2 linked regions of the Lytechinus pictus genome follow. The protein of the gene in region 1 binds, or shares a complex with, the protein of each later gene. Links are inferred from orthologs where the notes say so. Each region holds a gene or a part of one and is shown in the gene's direction. Other genes may lie near its edges.

What was found. Proteins that work in one complex are often made in the same cells at the same time.
Region 2: DNA polymerase epsilon catalytic subunit A-like (region 1) and DNA polymerase epsilon subunit 4-like share a complex: the UniProt entries of both Homo sapiens proteins name them as parts of the DNA polymerase epsilon complex. The link is inferred for Lytechinus pictus from reciprocal best matches to the Homo sapiens genes POLE and POLE4.

The regions. Positions count from the first base shown.
Region 1 is NC_087252.1:33,394,983-33,403,250, reverse strand, and holds the start of DNA polymerase epsilon catalytic subunit A-like, read left to right. Parts: upstream 1-5,201; 5' UTR 5,202-5,456; coding exon 5,457-5,530; intron 5,531-8,268. Other genes in the region: MAM domain-containing glycosylphosphatidylinositol anchor protein 2-like, read right to left, coding at 5,056-5,104. UniProt on the Homo sapiens protein: Catalytic component of the DNA polymerase epsilon complex. Participates in chromosomal DNA replication.
Region 2 is NC_087255.1:27,939,742-27,947,417, forward strand, and holds the start of DNA polymerase epsilon subunit 4-like, read left to right. Parts: upstream 1-4,237; 5' UTR 4,238-4,265; coding exon 4,266-4,463; intron 4,464-7,676. UniProt on the Homo sapiens protein: Accessory component of the DNA polymerase epsilon complex. Participates in DNA repair and in chromosomal DNA replication.

The DNA.
Region 1 (8,268 bases):
GCTTTAGGCCTAATCTATATCTTCAATTCAAGATTAGGTATTTTGTTACTGCAGATTTTTGTTTCTTTCATTCATCATTTCAAGTTAGCACAAATACAACAAGTACTTTTCATTGATTAGAATCAATATCAGCAACAACAAAAAAAATTATAATGAATAAAAAAAAATTATATAGCATTTTTAGTAACATCTTAGTTTTGTATCATGTTTTTTTTTTGCTGAACTTTATAAACACGTTTTTTACCATACATAATTTCTATCTAAAAAAATTGTTTTCATGTTGTTTATCTAATGAGAAAACATGAGGGGTCAGAGAGATTGCCGCCCATTTCGATATTTCAAGTTTGATTGAAAAATAAAAAAGGGGTGGGGAAAAGACAAGAGGGAAAATAAAAGAAAACATATTAAACAATTATTTGATAACCCGGAGAAGTTAAAATGGCATTCGCTTTAGGTCGTCTTGTTGCCGTGCAAGACGACCTGAAATTGATGACAACTAGCCCCCATACAAGAAATAACTTGGCGCCATCCCAGATAAAATGCATCAGAGTGCAATCGAAAGGAATGACCCCCCCCCAAAAAAAGTTTAAAGGTAATAATGATATTGTGGCTTGCCGTACATTAAACGCATTTTCTTTCAATGCCGACAGTGGCGGGTGGTGTGCAAAGAAGATCATGATTATATGATATGCCTACATGTACGTAGGACATGTCTGGAGGTGTCGATGAGGTGTCTTTCAAAGGACCATTCTTCGCATCGCCCAAATTGGCTTTGCCTTTGACTTTGTGAAACAGTTGAGCCATATCTCGTTCTTTTGATGTAACGTAATACATGTACTTCCAGCGGCTCTACCAAAGACCATTTCATGAAACAGGCCCCTGAGCTCATCACCTGCCGGTGTCATAGGCGATTTGGACCGGGCAGCCGATCGGGGCCGGAGGTACTAATCGGCGGCTCTTTTACCCGCCGATTAGTTCCGACATTTGTTGTGTGATGCGATCGTCATAGTCGCTTTGTTCCGACCAGGCGATTTGTTCCTATACGCTGTTCATGCACCATTATCCCCCCTACAGCAAGATTGTGATATTCCAGTCGTCCTTTTCAACCAATTTGCTCCTCCAAGTCAACCACACCCACAGAACAGATACAGTTGCCGATTTGAGAATCTCAAGTTATTTAGGAAGTTGTATGCATTTTTTAGCACTCTTCCAATTAATTAAACATCCGGGGACGGCTGCTGGGTGGAGCCATGAAGCCCTATTCACACTGTGTGCTCCCTTTGTGCGCCTGTGCTATTCAGGGTGTGAACTTCAATATATCCACCAATATGGCTGGTTTGTCTTGGTCTTCATTACCAAGCAAGAAATAGGATGGGATTGGCGACTAGGGTGATGGTGGGGTAAACACTGCTGCATGCTCTTCGAACCCCCAAAGTAATCAAGTAGAAATCAAAATGAATGTATCAATACAAGAAAACTAAGTCCAACAATAAGGCTGCCAGAAACACAGGGAACTCTCAATGACACCTCATTGAGACACACACTATGCGCATATTTTTTTTTTTGGGGGGGGGGTTGGGGCATGGGACCCGGGTAGTCGAAAAAGGAGGAAATATATGAAAATAAAAGGGAGAGAAAAAAACGTAGGAAGAAGAGATCGCAAGAAATGGGGAAAAGTATATGAGAAAAGGAAAAAAGGAAGAGGGAATAAGGGGGGGGGGGAGAAGGAAAATGAAGGGGGAGATGAAATAATAATAATAAAAGAGTGTGCATGAGCGCGCCCGCAATTTGAAGTTTGCCTTAGGTAATGCGAGATGTCCTCGCATTGGATAACAAAATCACGGTCCATGTTTACAATAAAAAAGTTAAAAAACAAATGTTTAAAAACTACCGTTAGAGTAGACTCTACTCCAAAAAAGAGACGTGGTACAGTACGGTACCGTGTCAACTGTCCAGGCAGTCCAGCGCTGCACGTGCGCAAAAAAGGTACCCGTACATACTACATCGCATCGTGTACCGAGGGTACCGTCCGTAACATACATGTACGAGGCTGAAATACCTCTTATCTAGATCTACCTAGACCAACATTTTTAATTTTAGACTGAATTATAGAAATAATTGTGATGAAATTAATAAAAATCACACCAATATTATATATATATTGTAGGTACGTGACAATCCGCGCTTCCGCAGGTTATTTCCTTGCACCGCACTATCGTTCCGCCTCTTGTTCGAGTGCACAGTGCATGTCTCTGCTAAAATCGCTGTAGCGGTGCTATTTTTAGACCTTAAATCATGAATGGGGTATTGATCAAGAGATCGGGAATCCCGCTTGATATCGCTTATTTTTTTTCCGTACGATGAACAAGGACTGAGATACGTCGACCATCAAAAGATTGGAGACGAATTCGATGCCTTGAATTAAAAAAAAGGAAGGTATGTATAGTTTTGAACGTTATATATCTACGTAGAATATTTATTTAATTACCTGCATATGAAATATCTAAGTGATTTGATTACCGAAACAATGTTTTTTAGCTCCGAAACTTACTGTACATGTATGTGCCAAGCAAAAATTGGCTGCATGACCGCGCGCGCATTATAGGCATCCTGGTGAGTTTTCACGGTGCTGCGCTGGGCTAGTATGTGGCTGTCAGCTGTGCTAGGGCGCTGATCTTGCTGCTTGCTGAAGTGGGGTTTATTGTTTGTTTACCAAATTAACTGCTCTTTTCTTTCGTGTTTTGGATTAATATAACTACATTCAAAGATATTGGGGGGGGGGGGGGCACAACTCCAAATTTATTTTGAAAAAGAAAGCTGGGCAGATTGAGGCTTAATATCAGTGAGTGTGTGAATCAGCTCCCCAGGACTACGAGGCAGGACCCATTCCCCTTCTTTTAAAAAGGATTATTTTTTTAATAGCTTCTTTCATATTCTTTATTTTCTCTTTTCTTTTTTATTTTCTTCACTTTTCTTTTCTATTTTTAAAATTTTCATTTTTTTTTTTTGTTCTTTTGTTTCTTTTCTGTTCATATTTCCCCCTTAGGTTTTCTTTTATTTTTGTTTCTTTTTAAAATTTTTGTATTGTTTATTTTTTCAATTTTTTTGGTCAAGTTTCATTATTTGGAGACTGGATTTGCTTTTGAAAGGAGAATATCTTATATGTTGATTTTTCATTAAAATGCACAAACTATATGTTCTTTATTTTTTTGTTGTAATTTTTTTTTTCACTCTTGTAAGAAAATACATGAAAACTCAGAGAAAATAATATTTCATTTCCAGATAGGTCTAAGTCCTGTATTTATGTTTTTTTTAATTTTATTTTTTTACTTTTTTTAAATACTTTTTTTTTTCATTAGGGGTGCAGGTGGGGTTGTGTTTTAAACTGGAAAATGGGGATGGGATTGGTACAAGTTTTTGTGTCACTTTTGTTTCTCTTGTTTTAATGTTTGTTTGGAGCTTTGATGTCTGTTTTGTTGTTTAGAGCTTTGTTATCTTTTTTTCCTGGTTGTTTTTTGTTTTGTTTTGAAAGAAATAGACCACTCTTTTCCTTTTCTTTTGGCTTCAACTAATAGTTTGAATTCATTTATTTTTCTTTAAAAAAAGAGAGCTCAAACAGGGCCTTTGCAATACAATGTGTGTATACAAATCTACGAAATACATTAAAAACTGATAGAATATATTAAAGCTTAATTTTTGTACTTCTTGATACTTGAAATAAATTGCATATAATGCTACATAACATATTTTACACTCAGCTGCTCATCCCTCCTAAAAAAAGTAATCAAATGTCCATTGTCTCTAAAATCAAAAGCTACATATTACACATGTATAACAAATTGTTGAAACAATAGAATACATAAGGAATTGGTGAAACAATCAAATACATCAGAAAAAAGCACACTTGTATTTTTATTTGGTCATACAAAGTACAAAAGGGATAATTTGTATACGTAAAAAAGGACCCCCGTACATACATGTATACAAAATTTACAATACTAAGTTGAAAAAGAGCTTGTAATTTATATCAGAAAAACAAGGAAATACATTAGAAATTACAAAAACAATACTTTAAACAAATTTATTTAGGAAATTATCTACATGATGCTGTTTTGATGCCAACTAAATTATATAAATTATCTATCAAGTATCATGATCACCTTTATTTGGCAAAAAAAAGGGGCGAGTTACCGAGTAATTGTGATTTTGTGTAATTTGCATAATTAATTAGAATTAGAAGAAATTATTTTACACATAATAATAAGAAAAATTACAAGATGAAATGATTACACATCGATTGAGTTTTCTTTCACCTTTCCATTGATACCTAAATTACTTCATAGGGCTAAAAAACAAAGTTAGAGCCTGTTGAAGACTTGGGTTCAAAATGGTCACAAAAATCGGTTCTGTACTCCACTGAATTGACTTTACATTAAGACAATGACCACAAAGTAAACCTGGATGAATATGCGCGACTTCACTTAAACTGGAATAACTTTATAATTTCTTGATAAAAATTAGAGTTCTTGGTATCATTTGAAAGGTCTTTTTAAGAGCTTTCAAATGATACCAAATTTATTCATATTTGATGATTTTCATTTTTTTTGTCACATACCTATAATTATATAGGGCCTAGGCCTATATTGAAACATTTCACCAAAGCAGATATTATTATATATTAGGCCTAGGCCTAGGCCTACTACATTCGAACCTTCTGACGAATACGGAACCAAACAGCGGCTTTCCGTTCGTATCGGCAAAAATTTCAACCAGTCTTTTGGATCTGGCAGCCCCGATCGGCTAGCCGTTTGGCCTGGTACTGACAGCCCAAATATAGGCCTACTTACTAGCCGTTTTGGACTGGCGGGCTCCGGTCCAAATTTTCTACCACACCGGCGCCGGAGGTACCGGGACTGCGACGTCGGAGCTCCCGTCGTCAGTCCTCACTGAGCTGAGCCGATTTCCGGGTATACCAAAAAGAAACATCACTGCTTAAACACACTTAATGGTACAATAAATAGCACACACTCTTGTAAACGAGGACAAGCGACTTACCTTTCATCACCAACAACAAGGAAAAGGCTGAAAATATTAAGAATTTCATGATGTTTTACTTTTAGTCGCTCTCAGACTCCGATATCGATATCTCGGCTCCTCAGCTCAGCTCAAATAAAGAACCTCACATTTTGCGCGCCCTCTTTAGTTTGAAGTTAACAATTTTCGCGCCCGCGCCAAACATGAAGTTTCCTAGATCATCGACTGATCGAGAATAACACGAACAAGCCTAATTTAATACTTTGTCTTTGATATTGTTCTGTCGAATACGTACATGTACCAGGCTGACACATATTTTGAAGTATTACTGATGCGTTTGGAGGCTTTGAATTTGGACAAAACTTCACATGAGAGGCAGAAAGTTAAAATAATTATCACTGAGTGTCTGTTCAGATTTCGGAATGGTTCTGCAGAACAGCGGCCGCTACAGGGCCGACCGCAGTGAGAACGCCGATGGTTCCGGGGGAGGTGGTAGGTGAGTGAGCGGACCCTACTGCTTGCAGGCATTCAGCTGCATCTGCAGTGCACCATCGTCAATCGACTTCATGGACGTTGTTTGACTCGAGCCTGTCTATTAATGCAACATAGGTCTAACGAGTAATGTTACACCACGTGCTACAAAAACCTGATAGGCCTACTAGATAGAAACGTCATTGATTAATTAGAATTTAGATTTAGAATAGGCCTAACTATCTATTTTAAAAATAGTTTGTCATTCATTGATCATTCATCATTTCATTGTCATTGAATCGAGATTCATCATGACATTATTCATGTCGAGATTTAAGAACCCATAATTGTGAAGCTGCATTTTGTACTTAGTTTTCTAAGCCTGTATTTTTTCTCTTTTGCATTAATCTAATCTAACGTGAGAAACTTACATTTTAAAAGTTAGAATTAGGCAGTAGGCTAGACCCACTCAAGGTCAAGGTTCTAACTCTGGCGCACTCACAGTCACACGTATTGTGAGATTAGTATTAGAAGTATACTAACCTCGCACCACTTGTTCACTGCAACCACCCACTTGTTCACTGCAACCACCCTGCCTGTGGGGAATCTACAGGTAGGACTATAGGTCTAGGATAGTAGGAGGACTACATCATGGCATGCCAATGCTGTGCAGAGCACACACTTTAAAAAATCATTAAAATATCATTTTTGTGACCAAAATTACTAATTTCCATACAGTTGCAATTTATTTTTTATAAGTAACTTGGGAATAATTTTTGTACTCACTAGAGCGCTCGAAAAAATTGAATTTTGGGCATATTTTTGTGTACGCCCTCTATTGGTGGAAAATAATATGGCAAGAAAATTTTCATTTTTTATCTCTATTTTTTATTAAGAAAAAAATAATTTAAAGCATCAAATTTACTTAAGGGCCAAGTTACGACGAATAGGTGAATTGGAAACTGTCACGTGTAAGAAAATCAAGCATTTGTCCCAAAGAAAAAGAGAAAATGAGCCAAACATTGCCATCCTTATTTTGCCACACATGGAGATACATGTATAACTGAGAACAAGGTTATATCATAACCTTGTTCATTGAATGAGTACCTCGCACCATGAACCGCATTTGGCAGTGGGTTTCTAAGTATTGGGTCGCGCGTGCTGCGATCCCACTTCTGGCGTCCACAACACACAACTTCTATGGCTTGATTTTTTTGTGCGCGGCGGCATGTAATGAACCCTGGCTTGAGTGACTCTGGCGTAGTGCGCAGGAAAGTTACATGTACAAGGTCAAGGGTCAAGGCACAACAACACCCTCATAACCGGAATTTAGACACTAGATCATACATTGTTAATGACCACTTTTTTCCATAAAACTTACCAAACAATATGAATCCACACTTTCCCTCTTCTTTGTCTTTCTTATACAGTGCGTCCAAAAAAAACTATACACTTTTGAAATGGCTGCCAAATAAAAAGTATATCACTTTGGGGGGAAAGAATTATATATATGGAAAGCCAATAAAGTCATCTTTCAAATGACACCAAAATGTTGGAAAAATATTCATGCTTGAGTGAGCACTACCCACTTAAACAAAGGGTATGAAAATCAGGGTGGGCAGGAATTAGCCTTTTGGTTTCTTTCAGTTTTTGAGAGGTGAGTCCCTTGGAACTTGCAAACTTGAGGGTGTTTTGATGAATTGATGGTCATTATCAATTTGCATTGTTAAAGCAAATTTCATGAATTATCAAATTGCAATTCCATGCATGAGTGAGCATGAATTGCAATCTTTAGTGCAGCATTTTAACTTTACTATGTGGGTCTCAGCAGTGTGTTCATTGGAGTCGGGAGAATAGGGGTAAGAAACGACTTCAGTGGGTGAAGTAAGCTGATGGGAAAAGGGTCAACAGAACGTTTAGCCTCCCTCCTGCAGGTCCATTCCTCTCTCCTTTTGAGATTGAGGTTGATTGCTATTACATGTACGTATTAAGTGCAGAGCGGACTGTCAATTTGATAATAAATTCTGAAAATTAGGTCATCAACTTTTACCTATCATTCAATCAATAATCTATTAGTAAATCAACTCAATCAGTGCGATCAATCAAATATTCACCCTTTTCAATAAATGATCAATCAAACATTCAGCTTTTTCAATAAATTATTTCATAAATCATCATAATTAGTCAAGTTTTTAATAATCATTCAATGGAAAAGAAAGACCCGTCAACCATAAGTCATTTAAGTTTGAATACCATCCAGGAGAAAGAAAGGGGATGGAGGGCGGGGGTGAGTACATGATTTGTTATTTGTAAGAGAACACAAAGAAGAATGCCCCTATAACCCAGTCTTACCCTATCTCACCCCCTTGCATGTAACAGGTACCATCACATTACTCTGACTCTCACAAGCACACTTGATAAGATCCACATAATAAACTAAAAAAGCTACATTAAAATTACAATTCCTGTTTACTCATGCATTACATTTCAATTTAGTAACTCATGAAATTTGCTTTAATATGAAACCAAAACTGATCTCAATTCATCATTAATTTAGCATAACACCCTTAACTTTGCAAGTTCTGAAGGACTCACCTCTAAAAAAACTGGAAGGCTTATTCCTGCTCACCCTCGCAAAGGCTAGTCTCTCAGGAAAGGGTGAAAGGGGTAGAGAGAGAGAGAGGGGGGGGGGGGGTTAAGTGTTCTGTTGACCCATATCCCGTCAACCTACTTCCCCCACCTAATTCCTATCCCTATTCTGAC
Region 2 (7,676 bases), on another chromosome or scaffold:
ACTTAGAAAGAGACGACTGGCATGAAATTATGGTTCAGCATGATGTTAATAGAGCTTACAAATACTTTATTGACAAACTAACTCATTATTATAATAAAAATATACCACTTGTTCAAAGAAAACAACGCAAAAATGATAAAAGAAACCCATGGATCACTCGAGGAATTATACGTTCAATTGAAAAACGCAATAAACTTTATAAATCGTATATTTCTAAACCGTCTGAACAAAGTCTTAAGAAGTATAAAAAATATCGCAATACTCTTACCAGTGTAATCCGCTCATCCAAACAAGATTATTATTGTAAGGAATTAAAAGATGCAGAAGGAAATTTAAATGCCACGTGGAAAGTTATAAACAAATTGATTAACAAAAGCAAACTACATAGCAACAGGGACAGTCCTAAGATAGACAATGAAGAAATATCTCAACCGGCTGAAATCGCACAATCATTCAACCGTTTCTTTACAAACATCGGTCCCAATTTAGCTTCCAAGATAGTTAGTGACAATACGAATTTTAAAGAATATCTTTCCCAGCCAAATCAAAATACAATGTTTTTTACTCCCACAGACCGACATGAAATAATTAAAATAGTACAAGCTTTAACATCAAAGAAGTCAACAGGCTATGATGGTATTAGTACAAAACTGTTAAAGCAAATTGTAACATGTATTGTTTCTCCATTGGAACATATTTTTAACTTATCACTCTCAACTGGATGCTTTCCTGAGCTATTGAAAATAGCCAAAGTAGTCCCGATTCATAAAAAAGATGATCCTACTCAAGTTACAAATTATCGGCCTATTTCTCTTTTACCATGCATATCAAAAATATTAGAAATAATTGTTTACAAAAGATTGGATTCCTTTTTGTCATTTAATAAGATTATTACACCAGCCCAGTTTGGATTTAGAAAAAATTTCTCTACCGATTTCGCAATAACCAAATTGCTGGACAAAGTTGTAAACTCACTTTCAGAAAAAAATCACACAATTGCTTTATTTATGGACCTAAGTAAAGCTTTCGATACCATTGACCATGGTATTTTACTTCATAAGTTGTATAATTACGGGATAAGGGGCATTGCTTGGTCATGGATTAAGAGTTATCTTTCCAATAGGCAACAATACGTTTTTATCAATGATGTTAAATCTCCTTTATCGTTTATCAATTGCGGCGTCCCGCAGGGTTCTATTCTGGGACCTTTGTTATTTTTAATATACATTGATGATATAGTAAATTCATCTTCCATTCTTTCTCTCATCTTATTCGCCGATGATACTAATATTTTGTTATCTCACAAGAACTTACCAGAATTAATAAATATAATGAATTTAGAATTAAATAAAGTTTCATCATGGTTTAAATGTAATAAGTTATCTCTTAACATAAGTAAAACTCATATTATGCATTTTCAATCATCTCATAGAAATGAAAATTGTATACAAGATATAAAAATTTATAATGTGCCTTTAGATAAAAAAGAATACGTAAAATTTCTTGGTATAACAATAGACAATCATTTATCATGGACTCCGCACATAAGCAACGTGTCTTCCTCTGTAGCTAAAGGAATTGGAATACTATGTAGACTAAAACAAATCTTACCAGAGAAATCTCTTGTTATGATATATAATACATTGATTTTACCATATATTCACTACTGTAACCTCATTTGGGGGAATAGCTGCAAAACAATGCTTAATCATATACTTTTATTGCAAAAGAAAGCGGTTAGAATGTGTTCCAAATCTGCATATCTTTCACATACAGACCCTCTTTTTTATCGTCTGAAAATATACTTTACAAATAGCACTGTTTATGTATAGATATAATTACGACATGCTTCCTCCGGTATTCACGGATTTATTTTCATATAATAACAATTTACACTCATATCCAACAAGAACATGCAATAATATTCACTTAAACAATCCCAGGACACTATTTGCACATAAAACACTAAGACATCATGGACCTGATATTTGGAATGCATTGCCAGATTCACTCAAGCTGACAAGATCATTTTATTCCTTTATACGAAACGAACTATAAAAGAAATGCAATTAAACCAATACCTAACAAATTAAAAAAAAGAAAATCATTACCATTGTTATCATTATTTTAATTAGACATTGACTTTTATCTAGAACATGTATAAATTAAAATCAAACAACAAAACGTTTTATTTTCTAAAATTCCATGCTAAGGACCAAGCATCTCCCCCCCCCCCCCCAGTCTCTCATGCACCTGCACGTTTAAATGACAATAGATATTAATTATTTTGGCTATATTCCAGGGTTGTTACGTTTTCAAGCTTTGCTTTTGTGACGACCCTTGCAACCATCCTATTTTTTATTGTGAAACAGAAAATACCACTTAATGATTTTCATTTATGTAAGATATATTTGATGATTTATATACAAAACTATTGTTCATTATCTTGATGTCAAGTTTCAGATATGTATTTTCTTGTCCAGAATTTTGTTATGAAAAATGTTGCAATAACCAATAAATGAATGAATGAATGAATGAATATATTTTGCTTGCCAGTTGTGATTAGGCCCGTGCAACCCCCACACATTTCAAATATCATCTTCTCTTCTGTCTTCCAAACAAACTTGAAAACCTATACATACCCCATCACCTTATGAATTAGTGTGTGAGTTTTATTAATGTATGATTTGATACTTGTCTAATTTACTGTACATTTATGTTGAACTTATATTGCGCATTCCCTGGAGTGGTATATATGCGCATTAGAAATTATCAATCTTCATCAAACTATTCCATTCATAATCTCAGAGAAGCAATTCATATTCCGGCATACATTAAGTCATCAGGTGATGCTCGGAAATCGATCGGCTGTCACTGGCAGTTCTAGTAAAGATTGGATGTACGGTTGTCCGATTTTTAAAAAAATAAAATAGTTCTGAATGTCATCATGTTATTTATTTATTAATATTATCGTGAGAGAGCAAAGTTGCTAGTCTTTTAATGGCACTTGTCCTCAATTGATTAAAATCATGGGAAGGTCTGCAAATTGAAGAGGAGGGAGAGGAGGCATGCACTTGTTAAGCTGTTGATACAATAATGGTATTAATGCAGAGTGCTATATAAAATACCAAGGTTTAAATTCGCACAATGGCAGAAAATAAGGAAGATTTACCAGCCTTAGTATTTTGAAAGGTGTTAATTTTGATAAATAAATCAATAGTTGTCCACTCTCAAATGGCAGTGACCCCTCTCTCCCGCCGGAGGCATGCAGTGATCATAATAAAAGATTAAAATAATTCGATGTAGTTCCACAATAAAATTAAAAAATCATTCATTTTAACCGTACTCTCACGATGCATTGGATACACGTAAAGGGTTTTCTAGGTATTTATATACAATAATGTACCTGCGGCATGGGTGGAAATCCCAGGGGGGACAGGGGGGGACGCATCCCCCCTATAGTAGGGGGACACAATATCAAATGTCCCCCTACTATTTTTGGTCTTTTTTTAAGGAAAGAAATGAAATACATCATTCAAAATCGAAATAAAACATGTATTTTGGACGAGATGACCTTAATTTTTTGGGTGATAACCTTTTTTTTTTTGCTTGCTTGCTTGAAAAATTCATTTTGGTCGAAATGACCTGATACTTGGGGTGATAACCTTTTTTTTCCTTTTTTTTTTTTTGCTTGTCAATTTTTCCAGCCCCTGGTCAACCTACCTTTGGGGAGAGATTTCCGCCCTTGACCCGCAGAAGGGGGCTTCTAGGGATAGATTGCTCTCCATATATTTAAGATCTCATGGCGATGGTCTTGGCAGGGGTGGATCCAGGATTTTCCAAAAGGGGGTGCAAATTTTAAATTTTAGCGCCCCCTTCCTGGATCCGTGCCTGGATCTTGGCTATGACCTTATATTTAATTGTCAAAATAATATTTTGTCCCTCCTGACGATTTATTCCCGGTACAAATGCACTGGGTCTAAATTTAGATAATGATGCTCAAGTTTATTGGGGCCGCGGTGTTCAAAGTGAGCGGAGCGACCGAGCATGGACAATAAAACAGGTAGGTGTTTCATGAAAGTTGTCAGCACTGACTAAATTGTCAGTGCTGATTATTTCCTTAGTTTTGTTTGGCTGAAAGGCATGGCCTCTGACTGTATACTTACTGCGGCTGTCGGAAAAATACAATAGTCAGCAAATTTCATGAAACGGCCCCCAGTTGTTGCGACTAGGACGCCCTCTTTAGTGTGACAAAAAAATCAACCATGGCTGAAGAAAGTTCTGCGGTTCCGCGGGAAGTTCAAGAAGAAAATGAAAACTCAGAGACGAAAGAGGATGAAAAATCTCAAACAGCCACGAGAAACAACAAATTTCCATTGACGAGGATAAAGAACATTATGAAAACTGATCCCGATGTGACACTAGCAAGTCAGGAATCTGTATTTTTATTAGCGAAGGCTACAGTAAGTTTACCTTCGGTCCCATTCGTTGTTTTATGTGTCGTGTAGATTATAATAAACTGGGTTCCAAAATATTTATCAAACTTTACAAGCGCACTAATGCTATACAAATTCCACTCAGTCAAAATAAACAAAAGTTTGACACGGGCTAGCTTCAATAATCTTTACTACGCACATACCAATAATTAAGAGATTGGCTGGCATAATTTAATAAGACTAGACTCTAGAGCAGGGGTTCTCAAACTTTTTCTATGAAGGGCCAGATGAGACTCCAAGTAAACCTGAAAGGGCCAGGGTGAAGTGGATACTAAGATTTAAAAAAATGTCCGCGAAGCGCAAAGACCCTTGCGGTCGGGGTCCTAGATGCTCTCTTGGCCCCGGGTCTTGGCCCTTATTTTGGAAGCATTTAATCCAACAAATTTATAACAGTTTCATATGGAACACAGGCAAAATTAGAAAAGATTTCAAAATACATGTAGCGAGAGTCAATATTAATGATAACAAAATTGTAGTACTTTGTTAAAAGGAATCTAGATTATACCTATACATACCTGGTATTGGGGAGACAGATAATGTCTTGAAGTATCAATATTTTTTGTAGTCAAAGTAGAATGAATAATAGAGCATGTCTGTTGTTAGACCAAAAGCTTCAGTCTCTGTATTTTGGTTGTTCCGCTGAACTACGTTGGCTCCACTCACCATACATAGACTGAAGGGGATGGGGCCCCGTACCTACAGCCAACGTATAGTGAACTAGCGTTTTATAGATCGCGATTTAAAACTGTTTTTTAAGCAAAATTGAAAGTTTCATGGTTTCCATTATCAGGGAAATATATATAACTTAAGTAATTGCATACCTTGGGCCGGAGTTATTGAAAAAAATCCTCTGGATGATTGAGAAATCTGTCATCTAAGACATTTTCACCTGACCTGACGGTTTTTCTTGCAAGTTGCCATCTTGAATGACGTCATTGTCGTTATTAACTTAATGTCTCGAATCGATATATCGCGATTATAACTAGTACTCGTACTAGTATAACTAGTATCGTTTATCTTTGGTTTCGTTCGCATATGGAGCAGATCGTATAATATCGAAAGCAATATCGATATCACATTCGTGATTGTTGACGTTCGTTTGTAAATATTTTATAGTTTGGCTGCCATTTTGACCATTTTTATCGTGTTCAACCCAATTAAACATCGGTAAAGTATATTTTTCATGCCTTTTTCATCTATATCGTTTAAAGTATTTAAATGTTAGAATATCATCAATTAAAAGTTTGTTGTTTATACATCCTTAGATTGTAAATTCGATGTGTAAAATTACATCAAACTTTGGACTGTGAATTGACAAAAGGGAGGGAATGAGAACACATGCGAGCCCACACGTACACCCTACCGTCGGTAAATGGGGATTACAGTAAAATGTCAGAAATTGTTGAATAAATCCCCAGAAACGACGGTTATTCCTGTCTAGTCTGTTGTAGACTCTAACAAGGATGTCAGTCTCTTAGTCACTTTCAATATGGGAAAAGTGACAGTCTGTCAGCAACAAGTTGCTTGAACCTTGGCACAAAAGGTTTGCCAGACGAAGGCTCTGGTGCAAATGTTCACTGGTCAAGCAGGGGCTGCGGAAGGGGGGCGCTTCAGCCCCCCCCCCCACTTTTTTCCAAAACCATGTGAAAAAACGTAGTGACCATAATGATTGTGATTTTTTGCATGGCCAGCCCCCCCCCCCCACTTTTAAAACCGTTCCGCGGCCCCTGTCAATGTACTTCGGTATGAGTTAGTTCTTTAAACTGTTCATTCTGGAAAATGCACTTTCGCACCTGTATGTAAATCCAAACATGGTGAGAACAGCGCTGGTCATGTAATAAGAAAGTAGATCGAACAGACAGAAAAGACTCCACTAAACTTTGTTTAAAAGCCAAATTAATTTGACTGCCATTACTTTTATTACGGTTACCGTTAGGTCTACATGGATACACAATGTAATCATATTAAGCTATGTTTCATATTGTGACTTAAAAGTGATTAAAAAAAAACCAGCAGAGTCTCGCGGGCCGGATTGAGAGGCTCCAAGGGCCGGATCCGGCCCGCGGGCCGTAGTTTGAGAACCCCTGCTCTAGAGACTTTTTAGACTTAGAGTAGGATGGGGGGTCGGGTGTCCGGACACTTTATATTTTTGAAGCCTTCTTTTTTGTCTTTGGATTACACTAAAAATATGAATTCAATAGTTGTAATCATCTTCTATTTTGTTCTCTATAATATTTCCTAACATTTTGTACTAAACATTTATGAAACTTCGCTTGTAAATTTTTCCAAATGACTTTCTAAAGCTGATCGTCTGGACACACAACAACTAGGTATACCGGTATTAATTTATTTATGTAGGCGCAATTGGTTCCGGAATCCAATAATGGCAATAATGACTAATCATTCAATGTCACAAAATGGCAAAAGAAAGACCAATGAAAATGGGATGGGATATAAACCAAATGGTCATTATTTGCTTGACTGCTATTGAGTCCATTCATTTATGCATTATGTTTCTTTGACCTCAAGAGGTGTGTAAAAAAAATGTTGATTTTAACTTCTTCTTGTATTGTAACTTATTGAGGCAATCAATTAAACATGCCGATAGGCCGATGGCCATACTGTGAACTTCAATAAGCTGGTAAGTTTGTTTAATCACATCTTATTTTCATTGGTCTTTCTTTTGCCATATAGTGGTAGAGGGGGTCAGTCAGTCTCAGTACAAAGACAGTAGTTTAGTTTAAGTAAAGTCAGAAGCAGACGACACGGGGCGTCACGTCTGTGACTGTGTGTGCAAGTCAAAGTGGGATCACGGAGTCGAGTGAGAGGTTATGATGTAGGACAACCTTCCAGAATTTGTTGGTTAATGTATGTGATTGTGTGCGTGATTGAGTGTATTTTCGGCCCCGTTCACAATAGCCATTTTGTGACTTTGGATTCCGGAACCAATTGATTTGAGGGGCTACAGCCTCTTTGTGATTAAACCAATCTCTTAATTATTGACATGCACTTAGTAAAGATTATTAATGAAGTCAACCTGTGTCAAAATTTGTTCATTTTGACTGGGAGGAATTTGTTTAGTGTGCTTGTGAAGTTTGATAAGTTTATCCAAAAACATTTGACTTTTAATCTTGGCATGGTCAGCTACGCATCTCTATGCAGGTGCAGCCTCGACTTTGG